Linked DNA regions of Cricetulus griseus. The protein of the gene in region 2 purifies or fractionates together with the protein of the main gene of each other region. This does not show direct contact. Links are inferred from orthologs where the notes say so. Each region holds a gene or a part of one and is shown on either strand. Other genes may lie near its edges. The genes, in order: Plekhj1, Ocrl and Rab1a.

Evidence for each region.
Region 1: the proteins of Ocrl (region 2) and Plekhj1 purify together in Homo sapiens (co-immunoprecipitation; 3 studies listed by BioGRID and IntAct, counting the BioPlex papers as one, with this or other methods). This does not show direct contact. The link is inferred for Cricetulus griseus from reciprocal best matches to the Homo sapiens genes OCRL and PLEKHJ1.
Region 3: the proteins of Ocrl (region 2) and Rab1a purify together in Homo sapiens (co-immunoprecipitation; 3 studies listed by BioGRID and IntAct, with this or other methods). This does not show direct contact. The link is inferred for Cricetulus griseus from reciprocal best matches to the Homo sapiens genes OCRL and RAB1A.

What each region holds. Positions count from the first base shown.
Region 1 is NC_048598.1:101,579,113-101,582,862, forward strand, and holds Plekhj1 (pleckstrin homology domain-containing family J member 1), read right to left. Parts: upstream 2,308-3,750; 5' UTR 2,045-2,307; coding exon 1,951-2,044; intron 1,868-1,950; coding exon 1,800-1,867; intron 1,727-1,799; coding exon 1,660-1,726; intron 773-1,659; coding exon 682-772; intron 615-681; coding exon 551-614; intron 463-550; coding exon 337-462; 3' UTR 39-336; downstream 1-38.
Region 2 is NC_048604.1:21,516,173-21,519,822, forward strand, and holds part of Ocrl (inositol polyphosphate 5-phosphatase OCRL), read right to left. Parts: intron 3,111-3,650; coding exon 3,009-3,110; intron 1,644-3,008; coding exon 1,529-1,643; intron 210-1,528; coding exon 93-209; intron 1-92. UniProt on the Homo sapiens protein: Catalyzes the hydrolysis of the 5-position phosphate of phosphatidylinositol 4,5-bisphosphate (PtdIns(4,5)P2) and phosphatidylinositol-3,4,5-bisphosphate (PtdIns(3,4,5)P3), with the greatest catalytic activity towards PtdIns(4,5)P2.
Region 3 is NW_023276807.1:86,262,780-86,266,529, forward strand, and holds the end of Rab1a (ras-related protein Rab-1A), read right to left. Parts: intron 3,387-3,750; coding exon 3,291-3,386; intron 1,656-3,290; coding exon 1,524-1,655; intron 1,180-1,523; coding exon 982-1,179; 3' UTR 362-981; downstream 1-361. UniProt on the Homo sapiens protein: The small GTPases Rab are key regulators of intracellular membrane trafficking, from the formation of transport vesicles to their fusion with membranes.

The DNA.
Region 1 (3,750 bases), on a different chromosome or scaffold from region 2:
CCACCTGTGCCCCCTTTCTCCCCACTCACTTCACTGTGTGGCTTGGAAAAGAGGTACCTTTATTAAAGAGCAGGCTCAGCACTGGAGGCCAGCACCATGGCCTGCTCTATCAGCAGGAGTGGGGTTCACAGCTTTACCTAGCATTATACATTCACCTGGTAACGGGTGGGAGCTGTGCCAGGCTCAGTCCCTGGGTGGGGGCACTCAAGGGTATTGGCAGAGAGATGGCATGGGAACAGGGACCATAGCCCCTGCCCACTTCCTCTGGATGTCTGGCTTTGATCAGACGTTTTTTTAAAAAACACCTCCCAAGACAGCCAGGGGCCCAAGGGAAGGTCAGTCCAACACACCTAGCTGGGAGCCAGTACAAGTCTGCTCGTCTCTAGGCAGGCTATTCAGTTGGAACCTGGCCTCCTCAGAGATGCCAAACTGCTCCAAGGGGTCCTGTGGGGTACATGGTGCCTGTGAACAAGGCCAGGGAAGGCTGCACCTCCCACCTGCCACCACCCTACACGCCTCCCACCTGCCACCTCCCCACCATCCCACACACCTTGCCTGTCATCTTCCTGATCTCATTCCTGTAGAAGATGAGGCTTTGTCGCATGTACTCATAGCTGGAAGAAAGAACCCGGCTCACCAATCAGTCCCCAACCCAGCTCCCAGTGGTCCCCAAAGCCCTACCTGGCCCGGCGAAGAGCCTCCATCCACTCCTGACACTGCTCTTGGCTACAACATTCAAAGTGGTATTTCCTGCTGAGGTCTTCCACGAAGCCTAGAAAGGATTAAAGGAAGGGAGCCAACTCTTGTCGGTGTCCACGGGGCCTAATCATGCTGGCCTCAAGGCTCAGCTTCCTCTCAAACGCTGGCTTGGCTCCTCCAGAGCCCAGGAATAGGGAACCCACTGGGAAGCCAGGCAATTGCATATGGAGTTGGTTAATGTGGGGCCATCAGGGTGGACCCTAAAGTGAAATAGGACCGGGGAGAAGCCCCAGCTCCTATGTCACAGCAGGTGGCTGTCATTTCAGTGCTGAGGAAACAGACAGTTGGATCTCAGGGCTTGCTGCCAAGCGTGATGACCAGAGTTCAATGCTGGGAACCCACACAGTGGAAGGTGAGAACCAACTACCCAAAGTTGTCCTCTGATCTTAGGGGCATGCTCGATCACACACAAATACACGTATGTGTACATATTGATGTATTGTTTTAAGGGAGAGGTGAAGACATCAGAAATTGACATCTGGCCTCAATATACACGTGCAAGAAGCAGAAATTAAGGGTAGTGATGGAGAACCCCGTGATGATGGAGGAAGACATGAGGGCCAAATGTCTACAGGACGGTACTGTAAAGATCACCAAGGAAGAAGGCTGAATCAGATGTCACTTCAAAACCTCAGAAGCCCTGCCGGCGGGAGGAACTGTTTATGCCACACCAACAAAGTCTGCGCAGGCTGCTCATATCCCTGCCGTGAACAGGTACTGAAGGCGGGGAAGAAACTATGGTCGCACCAGCGGGGACCAGACCCGGGGGCAATTTGACAGCTGATGCAGCGCTGGGCCCCGGAAACTCGGGATCCAGGACAAACGGAGGTTGGGGCGGGGGTGGGGAGGGGTGTGCGGAGCAGAGTCCGGAGTGGGGACTGTGGGGACCGGCGCACTTACTGATGGAGAAGCCGCCGGGCTCTTCCTGGGCCACTCTGCAGCGCTCCAGCAACAGGGCTCCGAGGGGCTGCGCGAGACACGGCCATGAGCGCCGGCCGGCTCCGGGCCGCGCGGGCCCCCCGAGCCCCCCACGCCCCTACCTCGGCCTCGTCCGGGCGGAAGTAGAAGAGGAAGTTGACGACCAGCTTCACCAGCCGCCTCTTGGCCACTGCGGACACGGGGCGGTGTCAGCGGGAACTGTCCTCCTCCGCCCCCCGGGGAGGTGCCCAGCCGCGGCCCCGGCTCGCTCACCGCTGCCCTTCTTGGGGCCCCGCATGCCCAGCTCGGCCGCCATCTCCGCCGGCTGACGGGACAGCGCCTGCAACTCCTTCTCGTTGTACCGCATCACGCCGTGGGGACCCGCGCGAACCGGAGGGCGCCCTGCCTCTCGGCCGCCGTCCGCTCGGAAGGTGCGCTCAGCACCACAAAAGTCTCAGGGAACATTCCCGGAAGTCCCAGCAGAGCTACTGCGCCTGCGCGCCGGGGCGCTAGCGTGTCTGCGGGCGCAGTTGCTCGCAGAGTCAGAAAGGAAGGAAGTCGCCCGTCCTAGGTAACTGTCAAACACACTAAACGTGAGGTATCAAGCTAGATCCGTAGCACCCCCTGTCAAGCGAAGCGCGTTCCGAGGCTGCTGAGACATAACGATTTCGTCCTGTCGCGATACTCAGCGAGAGTTCGTGAATAACTCAGTGCGCGTGCGCACTTCGGACTCCGGCGCTCCTTTCACTCGCGCCTCTTTAAACCGAGTCCATCTTCTGGGCATGCGCACAACCGAAACTCCGCCTTATTTTCCCCCGGAAGTGACTGCTTAGTCCGGCCTGCGCGTGCGCACAGCGAAATCGTGGGCCTCGCGGACGTTACGCCTGGGCTGCGCGGCCTTTGGCGCCGGTGAGGTGTTACTCGGCTTGTTGGTGGAAGCTACCCCGGCTTTGGTGTCTCGGAAGGGGGTCGGAAGCAGCAGCGAGGGCGCGGGGCTGGACGGAAGGGCCGGCCGGCGGGCGGCGCGGCGGCGCTCGCGCGGCCCAGTGGCCGCGGCGGCATCGCGGGCTTCCGTGGCGCGTCTGCGGCCCCCAGCGTGCCCCGGTTCCTGAGGGTCTTTTGAGCTCCTTGATTGCCTCAGCTTTCCTCGTCGTTAGTCAGGGCCCTGGCGACTGCTGCTGCCGCCCACCCGAGCCGGTCCTTTGCTGGGACTGGAAGATAACGGTATTTCCATCCCAGGCCGTCTCCTTCTCAGACAGCACTTCGTTTCCCTGTCTCGTTTGTCGGTGATCTTATGGTGGTCCGTGAGGTAGCTCGTCTCCATCCATCCGTTCTCCCTCCTGCCCCACGCCTCACTTGTGAGCGCATCCAGGCGTTGGCAGAACTTCTATTTCAGACAGTGTCTCCCTGCCCAATTCTGGCCGACCAGGAACTCTTACCTCACACACATCGCGGTGCCTCTGCCTCCGGACGACTGGGATTAACAGCATATGCCGCCGCACCTGGCTGTTTAATTTGGAAGGGTTTATTACCGCTGACAGTAGGAGTGCAATTCAGTTTGGTGGGGAAGTTTTGTCCCAGGAGCTTGAGGCAGCTGTAGTCAGGAAGCAGAAAGATAAGTGCTGGTGTTCGCATTGCTTTCCCCGTGTTTCTTTTTCCGGGACTATCTTTTCTTCGTGTGTATGTGTGTCTGTGCATGTGAATGAGTCCAGATCCACTGGAGCTTGAGTTTCGGGTGGTTGTCAGTTGCCCAGTTTGAGTGCTAGAAACTGAACTTGGATCCTCTGGAAGGACACCAAATGCTTTTAAGACAAGATTTTACTGTGCAGCCCAGGCTGGCCTCCAACTCGGGTGTCTTCCTACCTTGGCCTCCCAAGACAAGAGCTGATGTGAAAGGTGTTTGCCACCATGCCCACCACAATTGCTAGTGTTTCCCGAGGTTGAAAATGTCACAGGCTGGGAAAGGTAGCTCAGTGGTGAGATTTTGCAAGACTCTGCTCCTACCCCAGAACCAAGGCGCATGCTCACCCAAGCTAGTTTTGTCCTGGGTTTTCTTGTTTTTTTTTTTTTTTT
Region 2 (3,650 bases):
GCAAAAGTAATTATAAAGTTAGGGAATGCAAGGTGAAATTGAATTTCACATAGATATAAAAAGTAATCAATTTAATTGTCAAAGTAACTCACCATTTTCCCCATAATTCCAGTTCCAACTGTTTCTGTAGCAATATCACGGATATAGCGACACTGATCTTTTCTGGCAAATATAAGAAGCATCATCCCCACAAGGCGGACTAGTTGAACCTATGAGTTCCAGGGAGTTACAAACAGCTAATATGAGCATCACTCTCTGCAACATAGCTACCTTCCCAGAATGACCAACAAAGATGTCCAAATCTGATCTGCATCCTTTAATTTCCTATTGGACCCCATAAACTGGAAACCAAGGTTCTCTATGGAAGCTCTAGTTTAAATTTGATGAATAAAAGTCAGAAGCTCCAAGGACAATGCATAAGTTTGTTCCTCTCTCTCTGTTTCTATTTGTCAGTGCTGAGGATCAAATAAAAGACCTTGAGCATGCTATGCAGGTACTCTACCACTAACTCATATTCTGTCTTACCTCTCTTTTTACATCACTCTGTAGCCTACTGATATACATTAAAAGTTCAAATAGTAAAGAACAAACCATTATCCAAGCTTGTTCTTCTTCCTTTTCCTTCCTAGACTCTGATTTCTCATTGTCTAAGATATTTAAATCTACAAACAGTGATCCTTTGAATTTTGAGTTTTTTTTAAATCTAAACTTGAGCTAGAGAGCCATAACAACTTCACGATTTATGCCACCTACATACACTGTTCAGAAGCATAGAAGAACATTCTATTACTCCTTCTGAGATTAGAATAGTCATCTTAAAATGAAAATAACTCTCCTAATAGCTAAATGCATCTATCAGATAGCTTCTAAAGACTATTTTTCTTTTCCTTTTTTAAACAATAGCTGGGTGTTATGGCACACACCTTTTAAAAACTATTTATTTTGATTTTATGTGTATTTGTGCTTTGCCTGCATGTATGTCTGTGTGAGAGTGTAAGATCTTGGAGTTAGAGACAGTCATGAACTGCCATGTGGATGCTGTGAATTGAACCTCTGGAAGAGCAGTCAGTGCTATTAACTGTTGAGACATCTCTCCAGCTCCTCAACTTTATTCTTCACCTACAAAGAAGTCTAGAATTTGTTATTCTTGTTCTGAATGTAATGGATACTTTATGCACCCACAGGCTTCATTCTGCTTTTCTTGTAGGCATTTAATTCTGGCCACGTTGGCAAACAATCTTAAACTTTCACAGACAGATCAGTTAGCTTATATGTAATTATTTATACAAAAACAATAAATGGTTTTCTTCTAAAAACTACCTAAGTGATAAAAAATTATGAACAGAAAGTTTATGCTTCCCCCCACCCAGAAGTAACTATGGTAGATTAGTCTCCTATAGCACAGTATTTCATATGGGGAAGAATTCAGTTATTTAACAAATCTTTTGGAAGAGGCTCAGAAAATGGAATAACTCCCAGTGAGGTCTACTTAGTTATACACTGAAAAAGAGAATCCAGTGCAGCTTACTTTTTTATACTTGGCCTTTGAAGGCAGACCCCTTTCCACAGCCATGGACCATTCTTGCTCTTTTACAGACTCAAAGTAGAAAAAGGCTTCTGTGCTCAAATCCAGCTCTTGGAATCTGAGGGAAAAATGGATGCAGGAGCTATACACACCCCACAAGTTTTTGTGGGCTGCTACCTGCTACCTCCTTTCCCATTTGCTGAGACATTAGGTAAAGGAAAAAATGGCAAGATAAGTTTTATAAAAGACAAGTAGTTTTTCTAAAGAACCCCCACTATTATATTCATAGGTTATGCAAAACTAAATGATAACAATCAAAACTCTCTTAGGGACAATAGTGAAACATCTATAACCTTTTAATAATCACTATGAGAATTGATGTCATGTGTTCCTAGGATGAGCAGTTTCCTTTGTGTTTCATTAATTTTTTTCTTTTGACCCACAAATTAACCCTCACATATAGTCCGCATCAAGTTTTTACCAAACAAGTTTTTAAAATAGGAAGATGAAGGATGGGGAAATGGATCCATCAGTAAAGTGCTTGCTGTACAAGTGTGAGGATATGAGGTCAATCCTCAGCATTCAAGTTAAATAAAAAAGCTGGCTGTGTAGGACATGAATGCAATTCCAGCAAGACAGGAGGATCTGTAGGCAAACTCCTGGCTCAGTGGAGAGACCCTGTGTCAAGCAAAATAAGGCCGATAAGGCTTTATCATAGAAGTGGGTGGCAGTTAATGTAGGAACTCCTAACTGGTCAGAGTGCTGAGAATTAGTGATGGTGGAGTGCTCTGCCACTATGGGACAGCTACATCACATATTCCAAGGCTCAGGGAACATGTGAAAGAGGATATGGAAAGAATGTAAGAGCCAGAACATGGGGACATGTACTGCAAAAGACATCTTCTGGATGACAGAGTCCTTGCTCCCCTTGAACTCACTACAGCTGTGGTTATCTGCATAAGACCTGTACAAGATTGGGCCCATCAACATTTCATTATGGATAGGGGAGGGGTCCATGAGGTTCTACCCTTTTCTGATGGGCAATGAGCAGTTAATGGTTGCTGGTAGAAAGGCTGACACTGTTTAGTGGTAAACCCACAGAGAAGTTGCTCATGTGCCAGTAAATAACCTCCCATCCACGCTCACACAAGAAACTCCAAATAAACGCAATGGGTTATGTATATAAAGCAGGTGTGAATGTAGAAGGGAGACTTGTTAGGAAGAAAGGTTTCAGCAGGAGAGAGAGCAGGTAATAGGGGTGGAAACAACTAAAATTCATTATATACATGAATGAAATAGGGAAAGAAAAAAGGAAAGAAAATAAGATGGAGAGTGATCGTGGAAGATGCCCAATGACCTGGTGCTCACATGTACAGGCTAACACATTTACATACATAAACACACAAACATGAGAGAGAGAGGCCAAAGTCATGTTACATTAATACCAAATCTAGGAAAAGGAAGGTCCTGAAGTGGTCTTTACCCAATGCAGTAAATATCAGGAGGATTTGGATCACAGTTCAGCCAAGGTTCTAAGCTGCTATCTGGAGACTGGCCATTCACATTCCATGTTCCAACAAAAAATCTAATACAGCACAACAAAAAATTAATTTGAAAACAAAGATAAAGTGTGAACAAACAATACTGCTCTTAACACTTCTATGAAAGGGTATCTTGATTAATATAACTCTTTAAAGTGTTTTTCCAGATACATAAGAAAAAAAATTTGCTCGTAGAATACAAAGGCATGGGTTTATTGTATTTTACATCAAGTGAATCAACAAAAAGGAACTAGGTCTGTATTTCAAACAAACACACTTAACTGTTTTGCCAAATTTCCACTCAATTAAACACCATCCAAATTCATTAAGGGAGAGCTTTAGGTTACGAAGGGAAAGAGATATCTTTGTGCTGTGCACAGTCTAATATGGACAACTGTTCTGTAAGGAGCTATAACTAAACTGACAAAAAACCCACTTCCTGAGGATCATGAGGACAACTGTTTGGGAAATTTTGATGAGGCAGATAGTACACTAAGCGGGAAGGCAGAAGGGATGACTCATGTGACTGTCTTAATTGTTCACATCTAAGCGCTGTGTAGCATATGAGGAACTGCAGTTGTGAC
Region 3 (3,750 bases), on a different chromosome or scaffold from region 2:
GGGAGTAAAGCATGTGCTGCTCTCCATCTCTACCACAGATGCATGAAGAAAGTTTGAGTGAAGCCACTTCAGACAACGGTTTTAGAGCTGGAGATGAAGCACTAGAAAGCACACATTCTAAACTTGTTTTCCATACACTCTGAGCTCCTTGAACCAATGAATTTGGTTCAGTCTACACAGCACAGAAGCTTCTCTAGGTCACTTAGCAGGTCTATTACTAGAAAGCAAATACTGGATGCTGTGCTATTATTAGATAGGTCTACAGTGCCCTTGTTGCACACACAAATTGGCTGTTGAGTATAATGCAAATCCCTATTTCCCTTTAACCATAAGAATTAAAACAATACTTATCACCATACAGTTTGATATTACTTCCAATAAGTACAATATTTATTAAACATATCTTCAGTTTTGTTACATAGTGTGCAACAAATTACAATATTCTGCAGCCACAAATTATATGCAGAGTATGAAGAAACTATTAATCAGATAGTGTAATCTTTCCATTTATAACTCTACAAGGAAGAACTAGCAAATCAGATCTTACATATAACGTCTCACTAAACTTTATGCATGGAAATTGACAGACACTGGTTGTGCTGTTTGATACAAAATGGCTGAACTTCATCTTCAGAAGACTAAACCCAACATCTAAACATGCCAATATAAACATCAAAACAAAATATATTCTAACCAACCACGGGAAACAATCTGGTATCAGGAAAGCAACAAGGATTACACACATTATTTTATAAACCAGCACACAAAGGTTTAAAACAGTTCTGAAAATGAAGTTAGCTGTCTTTGAGTCAAGGGAATAAAAAAAAAAGTCAGTATTGACCATTTACAATCTCTGACCTTGTGGAAACGGTAAGAATCTGTTGTAGTGCAGCTACATACAGTACAATTCAGGCAATTTTGTTTTTTCACTTGGGTTCAGATTGCGAATTCATTGCTGTGAGAAAAGGACGGAGGCAAATTTTAGCAGCAACCTCCACCTGACTGCTTGACTGGAGTGCTCTGGATTTTAACATTGGACTTCTCTGCACCACCAGCTGTTGCTCCAGGGCCCATTCGCTTTTTAATCTCGGCTGCCATCGTCATGAAAGACTGTTCTACATTCGTTGCATTCTTAGCACTGGTTTCCAAAAATGGAATTCCAAGGGAATCTGCAAATTCCTGAGAGAGTAATAAGGAACAATCAACACTGGAAAACCTTTCTAACTTGCTGTTAATGCTTTCTGAAATGGGAATGAAGGACTAAATTCACTGGCTTTTAAAAGTTTAGCCACTGTATGACTCCCGTCCCCATAATTAAAATTCAACTTGAAAATCAAACCTCGACAGGTGGTGGTGGCACATGCCCTTAATCCCAGCACTTGGGAGGCAGAGGCAGAAGGATCTCTGTGAGTTCGAAAACAGCCTGGTCTACAGAGTGAGTTCCAGGACAGCCAGGGCTGTTATACAGAGAAACCCTGTCCCAAAATTAATTAAGTAATTAGAAAATCAGACCTCATACATACCTTCGCTGTTGTGTAATCTACTACTTTCTTTGTGGTCAGGTCACATTTGTTCCCTACCAACAACTTGTTGACATTTTCACTGGCATAGCGATCTATCTCTTGCAGCCACTGTTTAACATTATTGAAGGACTCCTAAAGACAAGAATGATGATACAGTTTTGGATGCAACCAATGATCAACTGATAACAGCTCATTTTGTGGCAACTCTAGCTATAACTATAATGCAAGAAAAGAAATGAACTAATATATTACAATGACAATGTTCATCTAATGAATGATAAGGAGGACTGGCAGGCTTGAAGTGAAAATAGCTTATTTGGGAAGGGAAACAGTTTAATATTTAATGACAGGCAAACCAATTTTTTCTTTAAAGATTTTATTTATTATGTATACAGTCTTCTGCCTGCATGCAGATCTCATTCAAGGTGGCTGTGAGCCACCATGTGGTTGCTGGGAATTGAACTCAGGACCTCTGGAAGAACAGTCAGTGCTCTTAACCGCTGAGCCATCTCTCCAGCCCCCAGGCAAACCCAATTTTAAGTTGAAATTTAGATATTAACAAAACCTAGTTTCTGAAATTTAGTAGAATTCTGGTTTTTAAACTGAGTAGTGACACAGCTTTTATCCCAGAACTAGGGAGGCAGAGGCAGGTGGATCTCTGAGTTCTAGGCCTGCCCATTCTACAAAATCAGTTAGTTGCACGTCAGCCAGGACTACCTTAAGGGAGATCCTGTCTCAAAATAAACCAAACAAAAATTAACAACAAAAACTGGTCATGAATAACAGCAGTGTTACTACTATCAAAAAGATAACTGTTTGGCCCGAGGGTACAGTTCAGGGACTGACTACTTCCTGGCATGCAGAAATCTCTGAGCTTAAATGCCACTACAAGATAGTGAGTGGATGGGGAGGAGAAAACTAGTTTAAAAAAAAAAAAAAAAAAAAAAAAAACTTTTGGTGAGACCTTTTCCTTTTTCTTTTCTCAAAAATATTTTATGGTAGACTGGGAGTGATTGCACATGCTTTTGATCCCAGTGCTTAGAGGGCAGAGGCAGGCAGATCTCTGAGTTCTACAGAGTTCTAGGACTGCCAGGACTACTCAGAGAAACTCTGTCTCAAAACACAACAAAATAATGGTGATAGACTGGACGTTTAAAAGTAACATGTTCTGGGCTGAAGAGATGGCTCAGTGGTTAAGAGCACTGACTGCTCTTCTAGAGGACCGGGGTTCAATTCCCAGCACCCACATGGCAGCTCACAGCTGTCTGTAATTCCAGTTCCAGGGGACCCAACACCCATGGCAAAACACCAATGTATATAAAATAAAAATAAAATTTTAAAAAAGTAACATGTTCTGTCTGCTCTGGGTGTTGGCCTTTTTGAGATGTGATCTGCTGTGTTGTGCTGCCTAGACTGGTCTCAGTCTTCTGAGAGCCTATCTCAGCCTCCCAAGTAGCAAGAACCCAGGCACACGACATCATGTTAATGTAGCATTTTCTTTTCCTGCCCACATTCACCCATCTTTTGCTCCTAAATGTCTTCAGTTATTTCCAAATTGCCCATAAGTCACAAAGAGTTGATTTAACATTTGCTACAAGAAAAATGAGTGCTAATTTTTATTTTTTTTTTTAATTTCTCAAATGGTAAAAATAACTTTCAGATCAAAAGTATTCAAGGACATTCTGTCTACATAATAATTTCCAGGTCAATCAGAACTACACAGTGTGTCGAAAATCTACACACATACAATAGTCTCTAGGAACTCACCTGATCTGTCACATCATACACAACTATGATGCCATGGGCTCCTCTGTAGTAACTGGAGGTGATTGTTCGAAATCTTTCCTGGCCTGCTGTGTCCCACTATTAGAAAAGAATCAGGAAAGGCAAAACAATTTCATTACAACAGACTTGGGAAGTACAAGAGGAAACTGTAGATTATTAGGATCAGACACAACAGATCCTAATTCAATGCTTACATTATTAAACTGCACTGCAAGTATCAAATATGTTAAAATCCAGAAGCAAAGACATTGCCTACAATTTGGCTGGTGGTACTGACACCAAATTCTAAATTCTTTTATGCTAGGCAGTTGGCAAAAATAAGAATCCAGAGTCCACAGCGTACTCCTTCCTGGCTGCAGCCATTCATCCCAAATCAGGTTGTTCTGCCATGCCCTAGTGGGAAAAGGAGGTGTACTTCACCAAGTGAAAGTACTTCACCTCA